Arabidopsis thaliana: one gene and its partners. The protein of the gene in region 2 interacts with the protein of the main gene of each other region in a biochemical or structural test. Each region holds a gene or a part of one and is shown on either strand. Other genes may lie near its edges.

Evidence for each region.
Region 1: the proteins of CLF (region 2) and BLI form a complex in vitro, tested with the Arabidopsis thaliana proteins (one study listed by BioGRID).
Region 3: the proteins of CLF (region 2) and FIE form a complex in vitro, tested with the Arabidopsis thaliana proteins (one study listed by BioGRID).

What each region holds. Positions count from the first base shown.
Region 1 is NC_003074.8:8,662,013-8,670,101, reverse strand, and holds BLI (BLISTER), read left to right. Parts: upstream 1-2,061; 5' UTR 2,062-2,661; coding exon 2,662-2,718; intron 2,719-2,965; coding exon 2,966-3,452; intron 3,453-3,564; coding exon 3,565-4,112; intron 4,113-4,407; coding exon 4,408-4,527; intron 4,528-5,000; coding exon 5,001-5,066; intron 5,067-5,314; coding exon 5,315-5,425; intron 5,426-5,623; coding exon 5,624-5,700; intron 5,701-5,860; coding exon 5,861-5,928; intron 5,929-6,010; coding exon 6,011-6,124; intron 6,125-6,277; coding exon 6,278-6,462; intron 6,463-6,592; coding exon 6,593-6,661; intron 6,662-6,954; coding exon 6,955-7,116; intron 7,117-7,203; coding exon 7,204-7,284; 3' UTR 7,285-7,689; downstream 7,690-8,089. Other genes in the region: HSP60 (heat shock protein 60), read right to left, coding at 39-310, 402-561, 708-861, 1,052-1,089. UniProt on the Arabidopsis thaliana protein: Is required for normal leaf, flower and seed development and controls cotyledon and leaf patterning by inhibiting premature differentiation. Regulates the expression of a subset of PcG target genes.
Region 2 is NC_003071.7:9,953,286-9,960,896, forward strand, and holds CLF (SET domain-containing protein), read left to right. Parts: upstream 1-1,806; 5' UTR 1,807-2,284; coding exon 2,285-2,347; intron 2,348-2,624; coding exon 2,625-2,717; intron 2,718-2,801; coding exon 2,802-3,103; intron 3,104-3,207; coding exon 3,208-3,369; intron 3,370-3,506; coding exon 3,507-3,591; intron 3,592-3,728; exon of another isoform or gene 3,729-3,762; coding exon of another isoform or gene 3,763-3,786; coding exon 3,787-3,921; intron 3,922-4,021; coding exon 4,022-4,069; intron 4,070-4,141; coding exon 4,142-4,213; intron 4,214-4,294; coding exon 4,295-4,995; intron 4,996-5,096; coding exon 5,097-5,247; intron 5,248-5,346; coding exon 5,347-5,570; intron 5,571-5,649; coding exon 5,650-5,781; intron 5,782-5,906; coding exon 5,907-5,997; intron 5,998-6,096; coding exon 6,097-6,144; intron 6,145-6,247; coding exon 6,248-6,376; intron 6,377-6,470; coding exon 6,471-6,548; intron 6,549-6,637; coding exon 6,638-6,832; 3' UTR 6,833-7,101; downstream 7,102-7,611. Other genes in the region: AT2G23370 (cyclin delta-3), read right to left, coding at 8-118, 205-286, 394-488, 568-630, 711-878, 975-1,032, 1,110-1,152, 1,235-1,309 and 2 more; AT2G23390 (acyl-CoA), read right to left, coding at 7,283-7,342, 7,435-7,605. UniProt on the Arabidopsis thaliana protein: Polycomb group (PcG) protein. Catalytic subunit of some PcG multiprotein complex, which methylates 'Lys-27' of histone H3, leading to transcriptional repression of the affected target genes, mainly abscisic acid (ABA) responsive elements.
Region 3 is NC_003074.8:7,248,215-7,254,244, reverse strand, and holds FIE (Transducin/WD40 repeat-like superfamily protein), read left to right. Parts: upstream 1-1,792; 5' UTR 1,793-1,990; coding exon 1,991-2,167; intron 2,168-3,010; exon of another isoform or gene 3,011-3,198; coding exon 3,199-3,264; intron 3,265-3,363; coding exon 3,364-3,486; intron 3,487-3,573; coding exon 3,574-3,654; intron 3,655-3,746; coding exon 3,747-3,839; intron 3,840-3,933; coding exon 3,934-4,009; intron 4,010-4,115; coding exon 4,116-4,195; intron 4,196-4,287; coding exon 4,288-4,359; intron 4,360-4,444; coding exon 4,445-4,504; intron 4,505-4,589; coding exon 4,590-4,686; intron 4,687-4,788; coding exon 4,789-4,852; intron 4,853-4,934; coding exon 4,935-4,994; intron 4,995-5,120; coding exon 5,121-5,181; 3' UTR 5,182-5,366; downstream 5,367-6,030. Other genes in the region: AT3G20730 (PPR superfamily protein), read right to left, coding at 5,367-6,030. UniProt on the Arabidopsis thaliana protein: Polycomb group (PcG) protein. PcG proteins act by forming multiprotein complexes, which are required to maintain the transcriptionally repressive state of homeotic genes throughout development.

The DNA of each region.
Region 1 (8,089 bases), on a different chromosome or scaffold from region 2:
AAGTAGCAACATGAGCAATCATTCGGCGATTTACTTACTTGGATTGTGATAACACCTTCTTTGCCAACCTTCTCCATAGCCTTGGCAATAAGTTCACCAATTTCCCTCTCTCCATTAGCAGAAATGGTTCCAACCTGAGCAATCTCTTCAGATGTGCTGATCATCCTAGCCTTGCTTTTAAGGTTTGTCACCACAGCATCAACTGCCATGGAAATACCTCTTCGCAAGTCCATTGCATTCATTCCTGCGGCAACTGATTTGCATCCTTCGGCAAATATAGCCCGGGTGAGGACAGTAGCACAAGTAGTACCTGCATGACAAGTTAAACAAGCATTGGTACATAGTTTTGCAAAGTTTCTACAACTATGAACCGCATAATCAATCAAAATGAAATATCTTACCATCACCAGCAACATCATTAGTAGCATTTGCAACCTGCTTCACAAGACTAGCACCAACGTTCTTAATTTTGTCTTTGAACTCAATACTTTTGGCAACAGTAACACCATCTTTTGTCACTTTAGGAGCACCCCAACTTTGCTCAATCACAACATTACGTCCCTTCAAAATTAGAATCACATAAAGCAGAAAGTCTTAGACCAAATTCGATACAGAATCAACCGGTCACCCAAATCACATGCTAAGGAAGGAACCTCTGGCCAAATCATGTCCAAATCAAATCAAAATGTGTAGAAGAAAAAGAGTACCTTGGGACCCATGGTGACTTTAACAGCATCAGCAAGATCTTCAACACCCTTAAGCATCAAAGCTCGAGCTTCAACACCAAACTTAATCTCTTTCGCTGCATAGTTCCTGCTCCAGCTCATTCTGCTGGAAACCTGGCGAGCGTTTTGAGCAATCCTGAAGAACAGAGAACAATAAAGACACCATTTTTATTATCAGAACTGGCAATTCAGAATCGGGATTAAGCTAGTAGATTTCGAGAGCCCAGATGAATTTGAAGAGAGTAGATCAAAACCCAAATCGATTTAATTCCTCATTAGCTTCCAATGAGAGTGAATAAAAAACACGAAGAAAGTGAGTTCATTACCTTGCCTTGGAGGCGAGGTTAGAAGCGAAACGATACATGGTGAGTGAGAAGGAAGAGGATTAACGATGAAGAGATGATTCTGATGAGCGAGTTAGATTAGATCAATGGAGAACAGGCGGAGAGAGAGAGAGAGAGAGAAGAAGAGTTGAGAGGGCTTAATAAGCGAAGGAGAAGAGTCTAGAAGCAGCTGCTAGTTACTATATGAGCCTTTTAGGGTTTTAGGCCTCTTTAGGGTTTAACTTTCATTTCAAACTTAAAAATCGTTAATCTCATTTGACGAAAAAAAAAAAAAAAAAAGTCGTTAATCTCATTTTCCAATTTAATTTCTGTAATATTTTTTGCCCCAAAGAAACAGATTTCATTTTTTCATCTTTTGATAACCAGCATTTGTGATTTTGCCATAATATACATGTCAAATTTTATATAGCGTTTAACCAAAAAATAAAATAAAATTATATCGCTTGATCTAAATATCCTTGAATCTAATCAAACTGAACCACACCAAACCAAAGAAAACCAACGGTAATTAAATGGTTCCGGTTGGATTAGGTTTTTGGTTTAGGTTTGCTTCAGCTCTACAAAACAAATCGGTGTTTCGAGTTTTTTAAATTGAATTTGTTCTCTAAAATCAGTGGCAATTTGTGTAATATTTTACCTCAGTAAAAGTTTCTTAAATACGCAAAGATAAAAACTGATAATATGAAATAGAACTCCAAAAGAAATCCAAAATCCAAACAATGCAAACAAAAAAGTGAACCAAACCCCATAATAAACACCTAGATGATACCAAAAGGTTGACCTTGCTTCACTTTTTTTCTTCATTACTTTGCTCTTTTAGTTGTCCTAAAGTAGAGGAATTTGAAGCTTCTATTGATATTAAAATTTGTCAATTTCTCTCTTTAAAAACATGAGTAATTTGGTGGGCTGTCGTCATGTTCCACGGGCCACATGGATGCTCCTATTTATTTTCTTTACCTGTCATATGTGTCCATCACGACTCATTTCTCTCCATTTTTTTTTCTCTTAATTTTCTTACTACCTAAACATTCTCTCTTATTTTTCAAAAAATACAACAGACTATGAACAAATACATTACACACTTCTTATACATTTTTAAAATCAAAAGCTACATGAAATCTAAATTTCACCAAACAAACAATGAGTGAACGTTAAAAAAAAATTGCAACCAAACAAAGAAAAAAAAAAACGAGTAAAAACGTTTAATTCAAAGCAGAGAAGGGGAAAATAAAAAGAAAGGGATCTGTTAAAAAGAGATCTGACGAACAAAATTAATATTTGAACTTCGTCCTCCTCTCCTTCAGATCGAAAACCCTAATTTCGATTTCTTTGTTTGACAATTCCATCGATTTTTGAACTTGTTTTCTCGAGATCTCCATCTGTTTCCTCCACCCCGAAATTTCAACGATATCTTCTCGATCTGTGCGTCAGGATCTGGGCTTTTTGAAATTTGAGTTTTCTCCTCAATCATAACAACGGCGATTTCCGGGAATGGCTTTGGCTAAAACGGATTCAATGGTAATTGAAAAAGCATTGATTTGAAGCAATTGGAGAGGGAACATTTCCCTCTGCGAGATTTCGAGTATTTTTCAATGGCATCAGCTACTAGTTCCCGGAGGCAAGAGGACGTTGAAGCTGGACGCCGTAAGGTAGATCATCATCATCATAATCATCATCTTTTGTTTGATTCTCTCGTTACTTTGAATTTGCCCCTAAAATTTGTCGGTGCTGAGTCAATTGATCATTTTTTTTAGGTGGGTTGTTTATATTGGAATTGAGATTGATGTCCTAACGCATGCAATCAGAATTGAGATTTATTCGACAAAAAGCTTGTTTTTTTTAAAGATGAATGCGTAAAATTGTGTGTTTCTTATCGTTTAATTTCTGGATTTTCAGCTTGAGCAGTTTCGTAAACGAAAAGCAGCAGAAAAAGCTAAAAAGGCATCACAGAATACACAACCTGTTGATAATAGCCAACAAAGTGTCATAGATTCAGATGGAGCTGGTGCATCTATCTCTAATGGACCTCTCAAGCAATCTGCTGAATCTACCTCAAATGAAACCCATACCAAAGATGTATATAATTTATCATTTTCGAATACAGCAATGGATGATGGAAGCAAAGAAAGAAGTAGACAAGATGATGGTCAGGAATCAGTGGGCAAAGTTGATTTTTCTAATAGCTTAGAGTTGATAGGTTCATCGAAGGACTTAACAGTGAATACTAGGCCTGAAGTTGTACCTTATAGCAATATAGACAAGCAATCGAGTGAAAGTTTTGATCGTGCTTCTACTCTAAGAGAAACTGCATCTCTTTTTTCTGGAACCTCAATGCAAATGGATGGTTTCATTCACGGCAGTGGATTAACCTCATCCAGAAAAGGTACGTGGCTATCATATGAGGTTAATGTAGTAATGTATTTTGTCCTAACCCTCCTTCTTTTTTGTTCCTTAAAGGCAACAACCTAATTTATCATTACGGTTTTTGTTGCTAGACTCTCTACAACCTACTACCAGGATGGCAGGGTCTTTTGACGAAGTTGCCAAAAACCAACAGGGAAGTGGTGAACTAGGAGGTAGCATTGTGCAGAAGCCAACTTTGTCAAGCAGTTATTTGTTTAATTCTCCAGACACATCATCTCGACCTTCTGAACCTTCAGATTTCAGTGTGAATATCACAAGCTCTTCACCATTAAACTCAGCTAAGAGTGAAGCAACTGTGAAGAGATCTCGTCCGTCTTTCCTTGATTCCCTCAATATATCAAGAGCTCCAGAGACTCAATATCAACACCCTGAGATACAAGCGGATTTGGTTACATCCAGTGGTTCCCAACTATCTGGCAGTGATGGTTTTGGGCCATCTTATATATCAGGGAGAAGAGACAGTAATGGACCATCATCTTTGACAAGCGGAGCATCTGATTATCCTAATCCATTTGAAAAGTTTCGGAGTTCTTTATATCCTGCTGCCAATGGAGTAATGCCAGGTTTTACTGATTTCTCTATGCCAAAACAAAATGATGATTTTACTGCTCTGGAACAGGTAAGATACTTATTTCTTGCACCATCTTTTATTTTGTTAATGTATTGTCAATTGCTACTTAGTATGGTCTTCTCATTTAGAAGAACTAAGTGGGGAATTGATCTGATGTTATATAAAGACGACCAAATCGTCAAAGATATTGAGTGGATGCCTCTCGCTGGCTGGATCATAATCTTCTTACCTTGTCTTGGATTGCTCTTTGATTTTTCTTTAGGATGTTAGCTAACACTGTTCGTCTTTGTACACCCTTTGTCCTGTGACTTTTCTGAGCTACAGTTTCATTTTTCACTTGCAGCATATTGAGGATTTAACACAAGAAAAGTTTTCACTGCAAAGGGATCTTGATGCTTCACGTGCACTGGCAGAATCCTTAGCATCAGAGAATTCTTCAATGACAGACACTTATAACCAGCAGGTACATGCAAGCTTATGGCATCCTAGCTGAATACTGGCCAACTCTGATTTTTGTACTAGAAAACAATCTTGACCACTTATAGTAGATGACTAATTATTTGCATTTTATCATGCTTAATTATTAGCAAGAGTATACTGTCATGTGGTTTTAGGATCCTTGGGAAATGGAAATATAAGAATATTTATTATTCATGATGTGGATGGATGTGATTTGAGTCTTTCGTTAAAGCGTTATGCTCTTGAATTAAACCATGTTTAGACTTTGTTGCGAAAACACACAGTGTTAGACTATGTGTTTGGAGAAGGTGCTTCAGGATGTCTACCTAGTTGACATTTACTGGGCTTGTCTACTTTTGAGAATGCATGATGTTATATATTGTTTGCTATAAGACATGGTGTCCACTGAGCTTTATAATAGTCACAAATCCTCCCAATGTTTTATGTAATACTTGTTCTCGTTTCTATCTCATACAGAGAGGTCTTGTCAACCAACTAAAAGATGACATGGAGAGGCTATATCAACAGATCCAAGCCCAAATGGTAAGTATTAACTGCCTATACAGTCACCAAATTCCAGTTGTATATGATCGAACAGTATACTTTATTAAAGCATGATATTGCATTTTTCTACATCCCTGTACTATTAGATTGTTTGATGTTTACTTACAAAACTAAAAATTGGAGTATGATTCTGGATGAGTAATTGCATGCCATGTTCTTTCATGCACTGGAGCTATTTCTAGATTACTTTAAAAGCTGTTACTTGATTTAACACTAATTCTGTCCAGGGCGAACTTGAGTCTGTCAGGGTTGAGTATGCAAACGCGCAGCTAGAATGTAATGCTGCTGATGAGCGTTCCCAAATACTGGCTTCTGAAGTCATCAGTTTGGAAGATAAGGTATTTGGCTTTGGATGTTATGTCTTACAATAACATTAAATTTGAAAAAACAACTAACATTTTTGGCTTACTTAGCTGCAAAAGTGTGCAGTGACATGTTTAGTTTAGTTTTTGAATATTTCAGCTGTGAAATATCTGTTTCGTCTACCTTCAGATGCTTACCTGTTTAGCTTGGATTTTTCTTGGAACATATATTAGGCTCTCAGACTCAGATCTAATGAGTTAAAGCTGGAGAGGGAACTGGAGAAGGCACAAACAGAAATGTTATCTTACAAGTAGGCTCTTTACTGTATTCTATTCATGTCCGTAACTTCACCTTTACATGATGTTTGATCCAAAAAGAACCGTGGGATACTGGAAAACTCCCTATGGATTCAGTCTGTAACTTTTATGGCTTTCTGGGTTCTATTTTATCTTACCTATCAACTTCAATAGGAAAAAATTGCAGAGCTTAGAGAAAGATCGTCAAGATTTACAATCTACTATTAAAGCTCTTCAGGAAGGTATGCACATTGAAATCTACTCCTCTAAGGAGTAATGTGATTGAACAATGCATTAGCTTATTTTCTGCATCTACTGTTGCAGAGAAGAAGGTCCTACAAACTATGGTGCAGAAAGCTTCATCTGGTGGAAAATCCACTGATCTGAGTAAAAACTCAACTAGCAGAAAGAACGTGTCAACCTCTACAGAAGGTCTTGGTAATGGTCTTTGCACACTATTTAAGAAATCTGAAGCGTATTTTGGATGTCTAAACTCATACATTTGCATCTTCGGCAAACCTTAGATAAAAAGTTTCAAGTTTAATCTTTGACTTCTAACCAGTCCCCTGACTCTTTGGATTCTTCGTGCAGCAATCTCAGATACTACGCCAGAGAGCTCCAACCAGGAAACAGATTCTACTACTCTGCTCGAAAGTGATTCATCTAATACAGCTATCATTCCTGAAACTAGACAATTAACTCTTGAAGGCTTTTCATTGAGCGTCCCAGCTGATCAGATGAGAGTGATTCATAACATTAATACGCTGATTGCTGAGGTAGTTTTTATGGATGATTGATTTGATGTTTTCTTTAGCTGTGAGAAGCAATACTTTTTAATTCTCAAGGTGCTATCATTTTCTCAATCTGGATAATAACGTGATGATTATTTTGTTTCTTCGGCTGCAGTTGGCAATTGAGAAGGAAGAACTGGTGCAAGCACTGTCATCTGAGTTATCTCGAAGTGCGCATGTGCAGGTACAGTAACATAAATTCATGGGGCTAAAAACATGTCTTCTTTGACTTGAGTAAGAATTTTCTGTCACCATAACATCATGCATAAGTTCTCTGGCTGAGCTTTCTATATGGTACTCCGAGTCCTCATAGACTCAAAATCCAAGGCCTTGTCTTCTTCTTATACTCTTTTTTTTTTCCATGCTGGTCCCTGCGCTCCTTATTTTCTCTGGGTCTTTTATAAGTTACGTTTTACTGTTTGTGTGTTTATTCTGTATCCCCAAATCATTTATATTTCTCATGTTTCATAACCATAGGAGCTGAACAAAGAGTTATCCAGAAAACTTGAAGCGCAGACGCAAAGGTTAGAGCTTGTAACAGCGCAGAAGATGGCCATAGACAATGTTTCACCAGAAAAGCAGCAGCCGGACACTCATGTTGTTCAAGAGAGAACACCGATTGCAGATGAAGGCGATGAGGTACTCTCTCATGTTCTCTGTGTTCAGAGTTTATAAAGTTCAATCTGAGAAAGACCACAGTTTAATGATATCTCTCTCTCTCTTTAGGTGGTAGAAAGGGTTCTAGGATGGATCATGAAGATGTTCCCAGGAGGACCGTCGAAAAGAAGGACAAGCAAGCTTCTCTAATGCATGGATGGCTTGCTCAGTCGTGACCCTTGTTGCCATTCTGTATATCCCGGGCACAGCCATGGATTGCTTCTTCTCCTTTAGTTTTGGAAGAATTCATTTGGTTCTTTTGATCCAAAATTTTGGATTTCATTGGATTGAGCAAAAATGGTATAGTGAGAAACACCATGAACTTGAAGAGTTCCAAATGGATAGAGGAGACTCGGAAGCTTAAACAGAGAGAAAGGTAGTTGTTATATGAGTGCGTTTTTGTCTGAATTTTGTAATTGTTGATTATATAGCCAAGTTAAAGTGTTCCTCCTAGCAAATATAATTTACCAAGAAAAAATCTTGTATGGTTTCGGATATATTTTATCTTCTCGTTTTAAATTGAAGACTTGATCAAACTATGAAATACAAGTGTTAACACTATCGGTTATGTTCAAATACTGTTCATTTCAGTCCGAAGTACAATTAGGTGATTACACACACACAATTTGATCTAAGAGTATATGAGCCATTCAACAAGAGGAACTATCTGGTATCTAATGATAATCTAATCTAATCTAAAATTTAAAACATTTAGAAGCCATTGTGGATTACACTTTATCTTCAGTAACCAATCAGAATTGGGTTAAAACAAACGAGTGGTTGATATAAAAAGATGTATATTAGAGACTTTGAGTTACCATAATCCTATTTTGTTATTCTATAAATATGTGTAATCTTTTGTTTAACCTCATAGTTTCGATAAGATAACCTACTTTGTTCGTTGCCGCCGCCCACCGTAAAAATCTTCATTTGTTATGATTTTTTCTCCTTTCTA
Region 2 (7,611 bases):
AACAAACCTGAGCCATTGGCTTTCCCCTGTCTATATCCCGTTGTTTTCCTTCTCCTGTAACTCTCTCCTTATACTGCGCAATTTGCTCTTCTCCCCACTCTGCTATTTGAGCAATTTCCTGGGAACCCGTTTCATATGTTCAACACTTTTTTCCCTTCTCTTTTCGATTACCAAAATTGCTTGTCGATAGTCAAGGAATTGTACCTCATATCTGCATCCTAAGGTCCACCACGAAGATTTCAAAGCACCCCTAGCTGCGTCTTTCGCTTCTAAGTTACGCCCAAGTCTACAAAATATATAGAGGTCTTAGAGTTTTCTAGAAAGGACGTAAGCATTTACCTGGGGGTCGTTCACAAGGGAGAAAGAGGGATGATGAGAAAGGATCATACGAACTTCAGTAAAACTTTTGCGTTGAAAGCGAATGGCCGGGCAAATCCGGGAAAGTTCCCTCTCTTTGTATAAAACTCGGTAGCCACCAAAGCTGAAACCTTGTATTAGCACGTGAAGATAGTTTAAAAAGAGAAAACACGTCAACTACAACAGGATAGATATAATTACTAGCCTTACATGGTCTCCATTCTCGATATGCCGAATAACTTTTCGTTCAAGAGAATCTGGAAACAATCCAACCTGAATTACAAAGCTAATAATCATATCCCAGTATCCATGTGCAGAAAAGATTCTGATATTAACAGGCTCAATATATGTACCTTTCTTAAAAGATAGGCATCTAAATCCATCAGTCTTGAACTGGCAAAGTCACCCTTACTGTAAAGTTTCTTCCCAGCTTCACCAGCAGCATTGAAGATTTCTTGGCTGCATTCTTCGGGTTTGGAAACATCTTCTTCCACCAATATTCTGTGAATGAACTGATCAACCTGAATGTTGGCCAATGAAGTCAGATATGAGAATGAACACTCAACAAAAATAACCCTAAATTAACGCATCAGTAATGCTATAAAAAGACTCATTACATTATTAGCTAGAAACCAAACCCCATGTTTCTGAACTTCCACCACAGGCATCTCCATACTGCAAACACCACAAACAATGATAAGCTACAAAAGAAGAGAAACATGACGATATTAAAAAAGCAAGGAGGATCTAACCTAGAAGGAGCTGTTGGCCACCGTAATAGAGCAATTGAAGAACCTGAAAAAGGAAAGTCATACAAACTTAATATGAAAGTGTTACAACCTCAGATAAGAACTTATGTACAAGTCCAGAATCATACCCGGGCTCATTTTCACCAACGGAATAGTAAGAGGTAACAAGCCTTGCTTGGCACCAGGAGAAACTATGGATTTACCTGATCCAATGTCATTACCACAAGCAAAAGTCACCATTCCGCAAGTTAACAAACAAAAACTTCGAAAATACGATCAGCAAGTCAGTGTAAGATTGATTTACCTCTAGCTGTGAATATATTCAGCAGCTGCATCAGATGCTTAGGAGGCTGAGCTTTTGCTATATCCTTAATGAAACATTCATGTTCTGCACATAATCAATCGTTAACTTCGATTCACTGATTGTTCAAATTCGGCACCGTAAGAATCATAAACCAATCTCAAGCCATCGCACAGCTTCCAGAAGTTGCAAATGAAATAGCGAAGATGTGAATCCCTCTCACCAGATAGTGAAGAAGAAGAGCAAAAGGATCTGGCGAAGTTTCTGCTGCCATGGAGAAGTATCAGTCTACGTTTCCGTCCGAAAACCGCCGCGCCGCGATGCATCTCAGAGTTTTCCGATCGCCGTACTGTTTCTCGTCCGATGAGATTACAGAGAGACTTCGAAAAGCTGTTGCTGAAAAAAAAAACAAAAAATAAAGCCCAAACAAATAGGGTTTAAGAGCCCATTAAATCAGAGCCCAGCAACGTTCGTGTTTGTTTTGTTCAGTTGATATAGAACCAGTCTCGAACTCTAGTAGATTCGTTGTCTCGAGCTACGTGATATTCCGGTAAACCGTCGCCGGAGATGTACAGTAGATAATTCAAATCGAGCTGCCACGTCGCTATTTTCCCACCAACTTTTTTTTTTTTAAATAATTGGAAAAAGTTTCTAATTTACACGCTTCCCAATTCGTAAACAATGTTCTTTAAAAGTAAAACGAAATTTTTTTTGGATTTGAAGATAAAAGATCCAAAATAAAAACAAAATTGAAGATAAATTTTTAGGGTTTATAACGACCCGCCAAATTCCTTCTCTCCTCCAACATTTCAGATTTCGCGACCCGGATCTTAACCCGGACCCGCATTTGTTTCGGTTCCGATCTGGTTTCTTGACAATGGCGTCAGAAGCTTCGCCTTCTTCTTCGGCCACCAGATCGGAGCCACCCAAAGACTCTCCGGTGCGTCAATCGTTTTTTTTTTTTTTCTTACTTTCTAAAAATGGAACTTTTTTCTTTGTGCTATTGAGGCATTGACTTTGATTTGCTTTAGTTTGAGTGAAGAGAACGAAACTCGATGGCTTGTTTGAGCTTCTCTATATGCTCGTTTTTAGATCTAGAGATTGCTGGATTGTGAGATATGAAGTTGTTTTTGGGTTCGTTTAGGAACCATTTTTGCTGCAATTGATAGTTTCTCTCATTGAACACTGTGTAAAGGAACCTCATTTTGATGTTTCAGGCGGAGGAGAGAGGTCCAGCTTCTAAGGAAGTATCAGAAGTAATAGAATCGCTAAAGAAGAAGCTTGCAGCTGATAGGTGTATATCAATAAAGGTTGCTATTTTTGTTTAGTTTTTTTTTTGTATGTTTTATGTGTTTCTGAATCTGATTGTTAGAAATTGATGTGTTTGTAACCAGAAAAGGATTGATGAAAACAAGAAGAATTTGTTTGCTATTACTCAAAGTTTTATGAGGTCTTCTATGGAACGAGGAGGTAGCTGTAAAGATGGCAGTGATCTTTTAGTTAAGAGGCAAAGAGATTCGCCAGGTATGAAAAGCGGAATCGATGAAAGTAATAACAACAGATATGTAGAAGATGGACCTGCCAGTTCAGGAATGGTTCAAGGATCTAGTGTCCCTGTCAAAATTTCCTTACGTCCTATCAAAATGCCTGATATCAAACGTTTGTCACCTTATACCACATGGGTTTTTCTGGACAGGTATGTTGACATTAATGTCGCAAGAGTACTTGAAAATATTCAAGTTGAAATGTAAGCCCCTCGCATAGTATCTTAACGTTATAATCACTCTTGAAATGATGCAGAAATCAAAGAATGACTGAAGACCAGTCTGTAGTGGGTCGAAGGAGAATTTATTATGATCAAACTGGCGGGGAAGCGCTTATCTGCAGTGATAGTGAAGAGGAGGCCATTGACGACGAAGAAGAAAAAAGAGATTTTTTGGAGCCTGAAGATTATATTATTCGGTTAGTATTAAATGGCAGGAGTTTAATCATTCTTGCATTTTGGTCTCTTAGTGTGAATCTCTTGTCTGCTATGTCAACTGTTATGCTGGTTTGTTCTCACTTATATTGTTGGATTAAATTTCCCTTCGTTTCTTCAGCATGACCCTTGAGCAACTAGGTCTTTCAGACTCAGTCCTGGCGGAACTAGCAAGTTTCTTGTCTAGAAGTACTAGTGAAATCAAGGTATCAACAACTTTTTTCTCTGCCTATTGCTTGTGTGAACTATCATGTGCTATTTTCTTTAGAATCAAGCACTTCAGTTGTAGGATTTCAAAACAGAGTGAGGGATGCATTGTTTAAGGAAATCCAATTAGTATTGTTCCAGCCCTTTCCCAATTGGCTTTTTGCAGAGATATGAACACCGACCATCTTATACAGGCAAGACATGGAGTGCTTATGAAGGAAAAAGAAGTATCCGAGAGTGGCGATAATCAAGCAGAGAGCTCCCTTCTCAACAAAGATATGGAAGGAGCATTAGATTCTTTCGATAACCTGTTCTGCCGTAGATGCCTTGTTAGTCCATTTGATTTTCTCAGGCTAATGTTTCATGGGTTATTGCTTAATGATCGAGCAAACATTGGTCTCTTTTTAACTTTTGTATGCATCTATGCAGGTATTTGATTGCCGGCTTCATGGGTGTTCACAGGATCTCATTTTTCCGGTGAGTTTAGTGCCAACCGAAAAAATCTTACTATAACTTTAGTGTTACTTATCTAATTTTATGGATTTTTAGGCTGAGAAACCAGCTCCATGGTGTCCTCCTGTAGATGAAAATTTAACCTGTGGTGCAAACTGCTATAAAACGGTAAATTTGTTATTTTCTCGTTGCTAAGCTCATCTCCTAGAAAGACTGGTTTAACAAAAAGCGTTGTTTTCAATTTATCAGCTTCTCAAGTCTGGAAGATTTCCGGGATATGGCACCATTGAAGGTAAAACTGGCACTTCATCAGATGGTGCAGGTACTAAAACCACACCCACGAAGTTCTCCAGCAAACTTAATGGGAGAAAACCAAAGACCTTCCCAAGTGAAAGTGCATCGTCTAATGAAAAGTGCGCACTAGAAACAAGTGACTCAGAGAATGGACTACAGCAGGATACCAATTCCGATAAAGTTTCATCATCGCCAAAGGTGAAAGGTAGTGGGAGACGAGTAGGTCGTAAGAGGAACAAAAACCGAGTTGCTGAGCGAGTTCCTCGTAAGACTCAGAAGAGGCAGAAGAAGACAGAAGCCTCGGATAGTGATTCCATCGCCAGTGGAAGTTGTTCACCCAGCGATGCAAAACATAAAGATAATGAAGATGCTACTTCCTCTTCTCAGAAGCATGTAAAATCTGGGAACTCCGGGAAGTCAAGGAAGAATGGCACTCCTGCCGAAGTCTCCAATAATTCTGTGAAGGATGACGTTCCTGTTTGCCAGTCAAATGAGGTTGCGTCAGAGCTTGATGCGCCGGGTAGTGATGAAAGTCTAAGGAAAGAAGAGTTTATGGGTGAAACTGTATCTCGAGGAAGATTGGCTACAAATAAGTTGTGGAGACCACTTGAGAAAAGCCTTTTTGATAAAGGTGTTGAGATTTTTGGAATGAATAGGTGGGTAATTTTGATGTATTTAGCTACTGCTAAATTATCATTCTGCTTCAGGTTTTTCAATTTGTGGAATATAGTCATATGGATTCTTTGTTTCTTTGCAGCTGCTTGATTGCTAGAAATCTTTTGAGTGGTTTCAAATCATGTTGGGAGGTCTTCCAATACATGACGTGCTCGGAAAATAAAGCTTCCTTCTTTGGAGGTGATGGATTGAATCCTGATGGCTCTTCCAAGTTCGATATCAATGGAAATATGGTATATTAACACTAAACCTTTTTGACTTTGTTTACAAATTCCTGATAAAATCGATTTATTTCTCTTCGGATTTAATGCTTTAGTTTCTGGACTAACCAGGTTAATAACCAAGTGAGGAGAAGGTCAAGATTTCTACGTAGGAGAGGCAAAGTGCGGCGCTTGAAGTATACCTGGAAGTCTGCTGCATATCATTCAATTAGGAAAAGAATTACTGAGAAGAAAGACCAGCCCTGCCGTCAGTTTAATCCATGTAACTGCAAAATTGCTTGTGGGAAGGAATGTCCTTGTTTGCTAAACGGGACTTGCTGCGAGAAGTACTGCGGGTAATGTAATCTATGATTATCCACATCTGTATTTCTTAGCTTTGAATCTCATTACCAACAAACTATATTTTCTGTGTAGTTGCCCAAAGAGCTGCAAGAATAGGTTTAGAGGTTGTCATTGTGCCAAAAGTCAGTGTCGAAGCCGCCAGTGTCCATGCTTTGCTGCAGATCGGGAATGTGACCCAGATGTTTGTAGAAACTGCTGGGTCATGTAAGTCTTATTGGGGATGCAAATCCATCCTAATTGGTTTCTTAGAAAATGCTCAAGAAATGCAACTTTTTTTTTAGTAGTTCCAGATGCACTTATACTGTGTCTGAATGAATTTGAATGTGTAGTGGTGGGGATGGTTCGCTTGGGGTCCCAAGCCAAAGAGGCGATAATTATGAGTGCAGGAATATGAAATTGCTCCTGAAACAACAACAAAGGGTAAATACTTAGCCTTGTTAACTAAATATCTATGATCTGCAATCAAATGATTAAACATGAAATGGCTAAATTTCCTCCTCTTTTTTATGTTAATTTCAGGTTTTACTTGGAATATCTGATGTTTCTGGTTGGGGAGCTTTCTTAAAGGTATATTAGGTTCAAAATTTGTTAAACTGATAAGTCCTTCAAAGATTAATCTATGTTTAGAGTATGAACTTGCCTTAAGAACAATTATTTTTCCTTCTTACAGAACAGTGTAAGTAAGCATGAATACCTTGGGGAATACACAGGAGAGCTGATCTCACATAAAGAGGCAGATAAACGCGGGAAGATATACGATCGCGAGAACTGCTCTTTTCTCTTCAATCTAAACGATCAGGCACGTCTCAGCAGCTTTGAAATGTCCCAACTCTCTTTCTCTCTAGTCTCTAGGTTGTCTTCAAATTTTAAAATGTTTTTGGATTGTGCTGCAGTTTGTGCTAGATGCTTACAGGAAAGGAGATAAACTGAAATTCGCCAACCATTCTCCTGAACCTAACTGTTACGCAAAGGTAAAAATGTGAAAAGTGCAAGTTAAAGATACGGTTTTCGCATGATGGGTATGTTCTGTTTTTCCTCAAAATCTTTGTATCTGTTCAAGGTCATCATGGTTGCTGGAGATCACAGGGTGGGGATCTTCGCAAAAGAGAGGATACTGGCTGGAGAAGAACTATTTTACGATTACCGGTATGAGCCAGATCGAGCTCCAGCTTGGGCCAAAAAACCTGAAGCTCCTGGTTCTAAGAAAGACGAAAATGTTACACCTTCTGTTGGTAGACCCAAGAAGCTTGCTTAGCAACAAAAGAAACAACCATTTTTTTGTCAATTCTTTGGTTACAGGTGGAAGAACGCTTTAATCCTCATTACTCTCCACACGGAAGAACACATTGAAACAAATTCATACATTTTGCTGAGTCTAAAGAAAAATTGTATTCGTTGGATTAAAATTTCCTTTTTTCGTTTTACATTTCTGGATTATCATTTTATTGTACTGAGACTCGGGTTAAAGTTTTTAAATTACAGATGAGAAACTTGGTGAGCTTTGGAGCTGACATCAATGTGGTATTCCTCACACATCACAATCTATATAAATTAAATTAGGCGTCAGTGTACATTTGGTGATCAGAAAGTAACAAAACCAAATCAGAAAACGAACATGAGCAGCCAAATTAAAATGTACATTGACGCATAAACCTAAGAATTAAGATATACAAGAATGTTTGCGATAACCAAGATATAAATGCATCTATTCTATTTTCTCTTTGAAGGGTCCATCTTCATGCATCAGTCTGATGACATAATCCATCTGCGATGCACAAAGTTACATTGTTTAAGTCGATGATCCAATTACATAGCTATGTTTATATACTCTTTTAACACCATAACTTCAAAACATACCTGATTTGATTCGCGCACTAAAAACTCGTCTATGGCTTGCCTGAAACCTTCATCGAATATGTAATGGCAACTATATGTTTTAACGGGAAGGTAGCCTCGCTGAATCTTATGCTCACCCTGCGCTCCAGCTTCTACCGTTTTCAGATTAAGCTCTATCGCTGCTTCAATTGCCTATGA
Region 3 (6,030 bases), on a different chromosome or scaffold from region 2:
TTGAATTTATAATAGGATTGGTACAAAGGTGGTAATTATAAAGTGCATTTTTTTGGATATTGTTCAATTCAAATATTTTTACTTAGATTCTCAAACTATTGAAAAATATCCAAAATATCCGGAAAATTTCAATTTAATCGAATAAAAAAATTAGAATGGAAAGAATAAAAAATTATCGGGTACAATTAGAAGAGTAATGTGTTTAGTTTGGTTTTTACTCGGATACCAGTTCAGTTTTCACGTATTATTCGATCCTATAGGAGCAATTGTGAATTAGTTGTGAGATTTTGGGAGCATTCGCTTCCAGAACTTAGTGCTAGGAGAAATGCTATTTTCCTATAAGAGTTGTACGAGGAAGCGAGCAAGTACACAACAACCACAAAAGCTTTCAATACTTGTTTACTCCTAGGGTTTAAAACTAGAGGTTCTATAGATCTCTAAATTTTTTTGAACAAATGTGTTTTCCACACGTGATATTCTACAATACCACTCGAAAATTATCCATAATTGCTTTAAACTATTTTTTTGTTTAAATTATATAATTTGTACCGTTGTAAACTGATTATTTCAAATTATAATTAAAGCACTATAATTTCATATATTACATTCAACATATATTAAAATAAACTATAACCATGTATTTTTTTGTCTTCCTTTCCTATAAACATTGATTGGACTCTATCGTAAATTTTGTCGTTATCGCAAATTTTGTCGTTATCGATGAGTTTCTCAAAGTTTGGACCTTGATTATCTTGTTTGGAGATGTTCAAATCGTTATATCCAAATAGTGAACTTCTAATTTTCTTTTTTGATAATGTGACTTATTTGGAAAAGTATTCCAAAGTATTCAAATAAACCCTTTAAAAATCCATTAAATACATTTTAAATAAGTAAAATGCTCTCAACGAAGAGATATCATGGTAAATAACAACAGTGAGAGGATAAAATGTTAAATCAATTTATTTACAACTTCAAATAGGCGGACATCAAACCTACTTAGCACACTTTCTATTTTCAAATTGGTTATGGTTTGTCTATTAGTTGTTGCATCTATGTTTTTTAATTCTTATATCGGTGATCTTGATTTTGTTTTGGTGTATCTAAAATCTATTTTAGTTAAAGTGCAAGAAAATAAAATAAAAACTTAAGGTAAGAGATGAAAGTAAGCTTTAAATAAAACAGAGCACTTCTATGGTCGATTATAGAGCCAAGTTCGTTCCTCCATTTTGGCTTAATGCAATATTACAAGTAAATCTTATAAAACTTTCCATAAGTATCGTATTACCCATGGATACTATGATATATAAACTCTCGGAGGTGTAGTCCAGAAGAAATGATCCATATTTGCATACAGTAAACTTGATGGAAAAAATATGTGGTACTGTTGGAATTGTAGCTATTGAGTATCAAATTTGAGAAAAAGGTAAAAAAATATGTAAAATTTGGGTGGAAGAAAAGAATTACATAAAATTGAGAAATGTATGTAATTGACAAAATAATGTTTTCAAAACATAAAAACGTGATACCATTTAAATCCAAACCTTATATCATTTAACCATTTTTAGTAAAACTAATAGTAATGAATGGTCAATAATATAAGATTACATATTAAATAATTACTACTTTCAGAAAATTTCAATCAAATCTATAATATTCCTTTGAAAAAAAAGAAAGACAAATAGGTAAACTTCGATCGTATCAATCAAAGAATATATTTATTTTTCATCGTAACGTTTAATTCTAAGTCCTATTAAAAAACGTTAAATTTGATTTTTCTTACCATTTTTTTCTAAAAGGTGAGTTGTGTGTTGTGTCAGGTCCAAAATAAAAGTTTGTCGTGAGGTCAAAATCTACGGTTACAGTAATTTTAATAACCTGTGAATCTGTGTCTAATCGAAAATTACAAAACACCAGTTGTTGTTGCATGAGAGACTTGTGAGCTTAGATTAGTGTGCGAGAGTCAGACAGAGAGAGAGATTTCGAATATCGAATGTCGAAGATAACCTTAGGGAACGAGTCAATAGTTGGGTCTTTGACTCCATCGAATAAGAAATCGTACAAAGTGACGAATAGGATTCAGGAAGGGAAGAAACCTTTGTATGCTGTTGTTTTCAACTTCCTTGATGCTCGTTTCTTCGATGTCTTCGTTACCGCTGGTGGAAATCGGGTAAAAGATCTCGACTTTCAATTCGAAATCACTGTTTTCAATTCTGGGTCTGTTTAGGTTTTGATTCAGATTGATTGTAACATTAAGGCCTTTCCTTTTGTGTTTGATTTTGGATTCTGATTTCTAGCCTTTAGTGAGATTAAAAGATTGAAACTTTGCTTGATGCTATAGTCTAAGATTATGTAACATTTAGTTCAAACTTTCTGGTTTTGGAGATTTTGTGGAAGATATGGTTTTTGTTTTCTAATTTAAAGTGAACTCATTACCTTATACACTTGATTTGCATTCTGTTCTAAAAAAAATTGAAACTTTGGTTGATGTTGTTAGTCTGCTTATCTAAGGAGGTTCCTTTTGAAACGGTCATCAAGTGAGTTATGAAGCGTTTAGTTTAAGCTTTCCTGTATTGGAGATTTTGTGGAAGTTATTTTTTTTTCTAATTTTGAAACTAGATAGAGTGAAGTCATTACCTTATACATTAGACTGCTCTATTTTGTTTTCAATGTGGGTTCCGAATGTACCTGATAGTGGCTCTTTAGGCTCATTTGTATTCGTCGAAACATCGATCGGATACCCGTTTGGGCTTAGTAGGCTCTGATACCGCGTAAAGTTCTCGGGTTCCATGAAAAACCAATCGGTAATGAGTGGAGTTAATTTGTAATCGTCTTCGGTCGAGCATTTGGGATTAGTGGGCTTTGATACCATGTGAAAGTCCTTGGGGTCCAATCGGCAATGAGTAGAGTTAACTTGTAATCTTACACACTTGGTTAGGTCTCATTCTCTTTATAATGTTGTGTGCCTAACAGTTTCCGCACTAAGGTTGTTTGGTTGCTCAGTCTCAATATACTTATCTTAACTAGTTGTAGTTTTTTTCATCTTTCCTAGTTTCCGTTGGATTTTAAATTGAATGATTTACTAGTTAGAAATATTTGAGTTTCTCATAGAAGCTTTAACCAAGGGGTTCTTTCATTTAACCTTTACTTAGCTAGTTCATGAATCTCATTACTGCCATTGGTGTATCTCTTATTATGTAGATTACTCTGTACAATTGTCTCGGAGATGGTGCCATATCAGCATTGCAATCCTATGCTGATGAAGATGTAAGGAAGCATACATATTAGCTTTTCCATCAAATTAAAGTAAGTGATGTTTCACTGAGGCCATTTGGTTATATTTTGTCTATGTCCTCTGGAGAGCAGAAGGAAGAGTCGTTTTACACGGTAAGTTGGGCGTGTGGCGTTAATGGGAACCCATATGTTGCGGCTGGAGGAGTAAAAGGTATAATCCGAGTCATTGACGTCAACAGTGAAACGATTCATAAGGTATTATTGCATTTTTATGGATGTTCTATGTATCCTAGCAAATGATTCTATATCTTTCTTGTATAATCTGTGCTCGCAAATGTGCAGAGTCTTGTGGGTCATGGAGATTCAGTGAACGAAATCAGGACACAACCTTTAAAACCTCAACTTGTGATTACTGCTAGCAAGGTATATCTCTTGGCTTTCTTTTCTTCCTAAAGTATCCTGACTTCTTTTTTATTTGTTGGTGATTAAGAGCTGTTACGTTTTAATTGAATAAGGATGAATCTGTTCGTTTGTGGAATGTTGAAACTGGGATATGTATTTTGATATTTGCTGGAGCTGGAGGTCATCGCTATGAAGTTCTAAGTGTGGTGAGCCAATATTGTTTTATCTAATTCAGTTAGTTTTCTACAATAATATATAGAGACAATGTTAAGGGGAACCATCTTATTTTGAAAATTGTAGGATTTTCATCCGTCTGATATTTACCGCTTTGCTAGTTGTGGTATGGACACCACTATTAAAATATGGTCAATGAAAGGTACGATCGAGCACATATTGTAATAAACTTCCATTTTAAAAAACCTTTTGAGAAAAATGGCTTGTGGTTCGTTTGTATGATCTTCTTATTCTTTGGCTGTCTATAGAGTTTTGGACGTACGTCGAGAAGTCATTCACATGGACTGATGATCCATCAAAATTCCCCACAAAATTTGTCCAATTCCCTGTAAGTATTTTGTTTTAGCCTTGTCTTGTAACAACAAGTGACATACAAATATTGGTGATGGCCTTTGTAAATAACATTACTTCTATATGTAGGTATTTACAGCTTCCATTCATACAAATTATGTAGATTGTAACCGTTGGTTTGGTGATTTTATCCTCTCAAAGGTTAGTAAGTCAATGATGGTTAAGATTAATTCATTTGGTGTACTGTTAAAACACTTTACTCTTGTGTTGTTCTATCGGATTTTAGAGTGTGGACAACGAGATCCTGTTGTGGGAACCACAACTGAAAGAGAATTCTCCTGGCGAGGTTAGGATCTCATTGTTGCTCCAAACACAACATAATCATTCATTTCATCACATATATTTACAGTTGAACTTTTTGTGGTTTGCAGGGAGCTTCAGATGTTCTATTAAGATACCCGGTTCCAATGTGTGATATTTGGTTTATCAAGTTTTCTTGTGACCTCCATTTAAGTTCTGTTGCGATAGGTAATCAGAGAGCTCGTTAGATACAAATTTGCATTCTATAGATAGATTACTTCAACTTTTCTTATTCATTTTGTGACAAATTACTCGCTGGTTTGTTATCAGGTAATCAGGAAGGAAAGGTTTATGTCTGGGATTTGAAAAGTTGCCCTCCTGTTTTGATTACAAAGTAAGTTAGTTTCGGATTCAGATACAATGTTTGATCTTTAAGAAATGTTTTAGTCTTGACATGATTTTCTGTTGCCATATAGGTTATCACACAATCAATCAAAGTCTGTAATCAGGCAAACAGCCATGTCTGTCGATGGAAGGTATAAATCCATCTTCTCTCTCACCAATGCAGTGAAAATTTCTTAATGTTATTTATGACTCAATAGTTACTGTAAATCAAACCAAACTTTGGATTCTGACACACTGTTTCTTCCATGGGATTGTAGCACGATTCTTGCTTGCTGCGAGGACGGGACTATATGGCGCTGGGACGTGATTACCAAGTAGCGGTCTGAGTCTTGTAGGAATTGATGAATTAGGAGTGCGAAGAAATGAGATATCCATTCTTTTATTGTAATTCTGATCATGTTGCTACTCCCTGAGACCTTGAGATGCTCTTTGTAGCCTTGTTAACGTCCACCCTTGTACCACAGTGTATACCCTTTCTGGAGATTTTGTCTTATTCTCTTAGTTCAATACACAAGGCTGTATCCTGGAGCTTTATTGCAGGAACCACTCTCTTTCATAAGCTTTCTAGTATTCAAAGCATTGTCCCATGCTCCATTAGCTGCATACACACTGGCCAAATTGATGTAATTGACTGGTTTCCTCGGTTCCATACTCAGAAGCTGCGTGGCTGCTACTTTACTGAGCTGCACATTCCCATGGCGCCTGCATGCATCAAGAAAAGCTCCCCATGTTGATGAGCTAAGACTTACAATACCCTCTTTACTTCTTATCAGTGCATAAGCTTCTTCCAAGTAGCCACTGCGCGCAAGCATATCTATGATGCAAGATAAGTGCTCTTCTCGAGCTTCGATTCCGTGCTTGTTGATCATTGTGTCGTAAATCTTCCAGCCTAGTTCGGTTTGTCCTGTATGACTACAAGCAGAGAGGAGAGAAAGAAATGTAACGTCATTCGGTTTGATCCTTTCATGCTCCATTCTGTTATAAAGATCAATTGCTTTCTCAAAATTCCCATGTCTTCCATATCCTGCAATCAAAGAGGTCCATGATCTCACATCTTTCTCTTTCATCTCTTCGAAAGCCAGGACTGCATCCTCGATTTCCCCAGACTTTGCATACATATCTATCAGCGAATTCCCCAAAGCAACATCGAATCTGATTTGGGAAGAT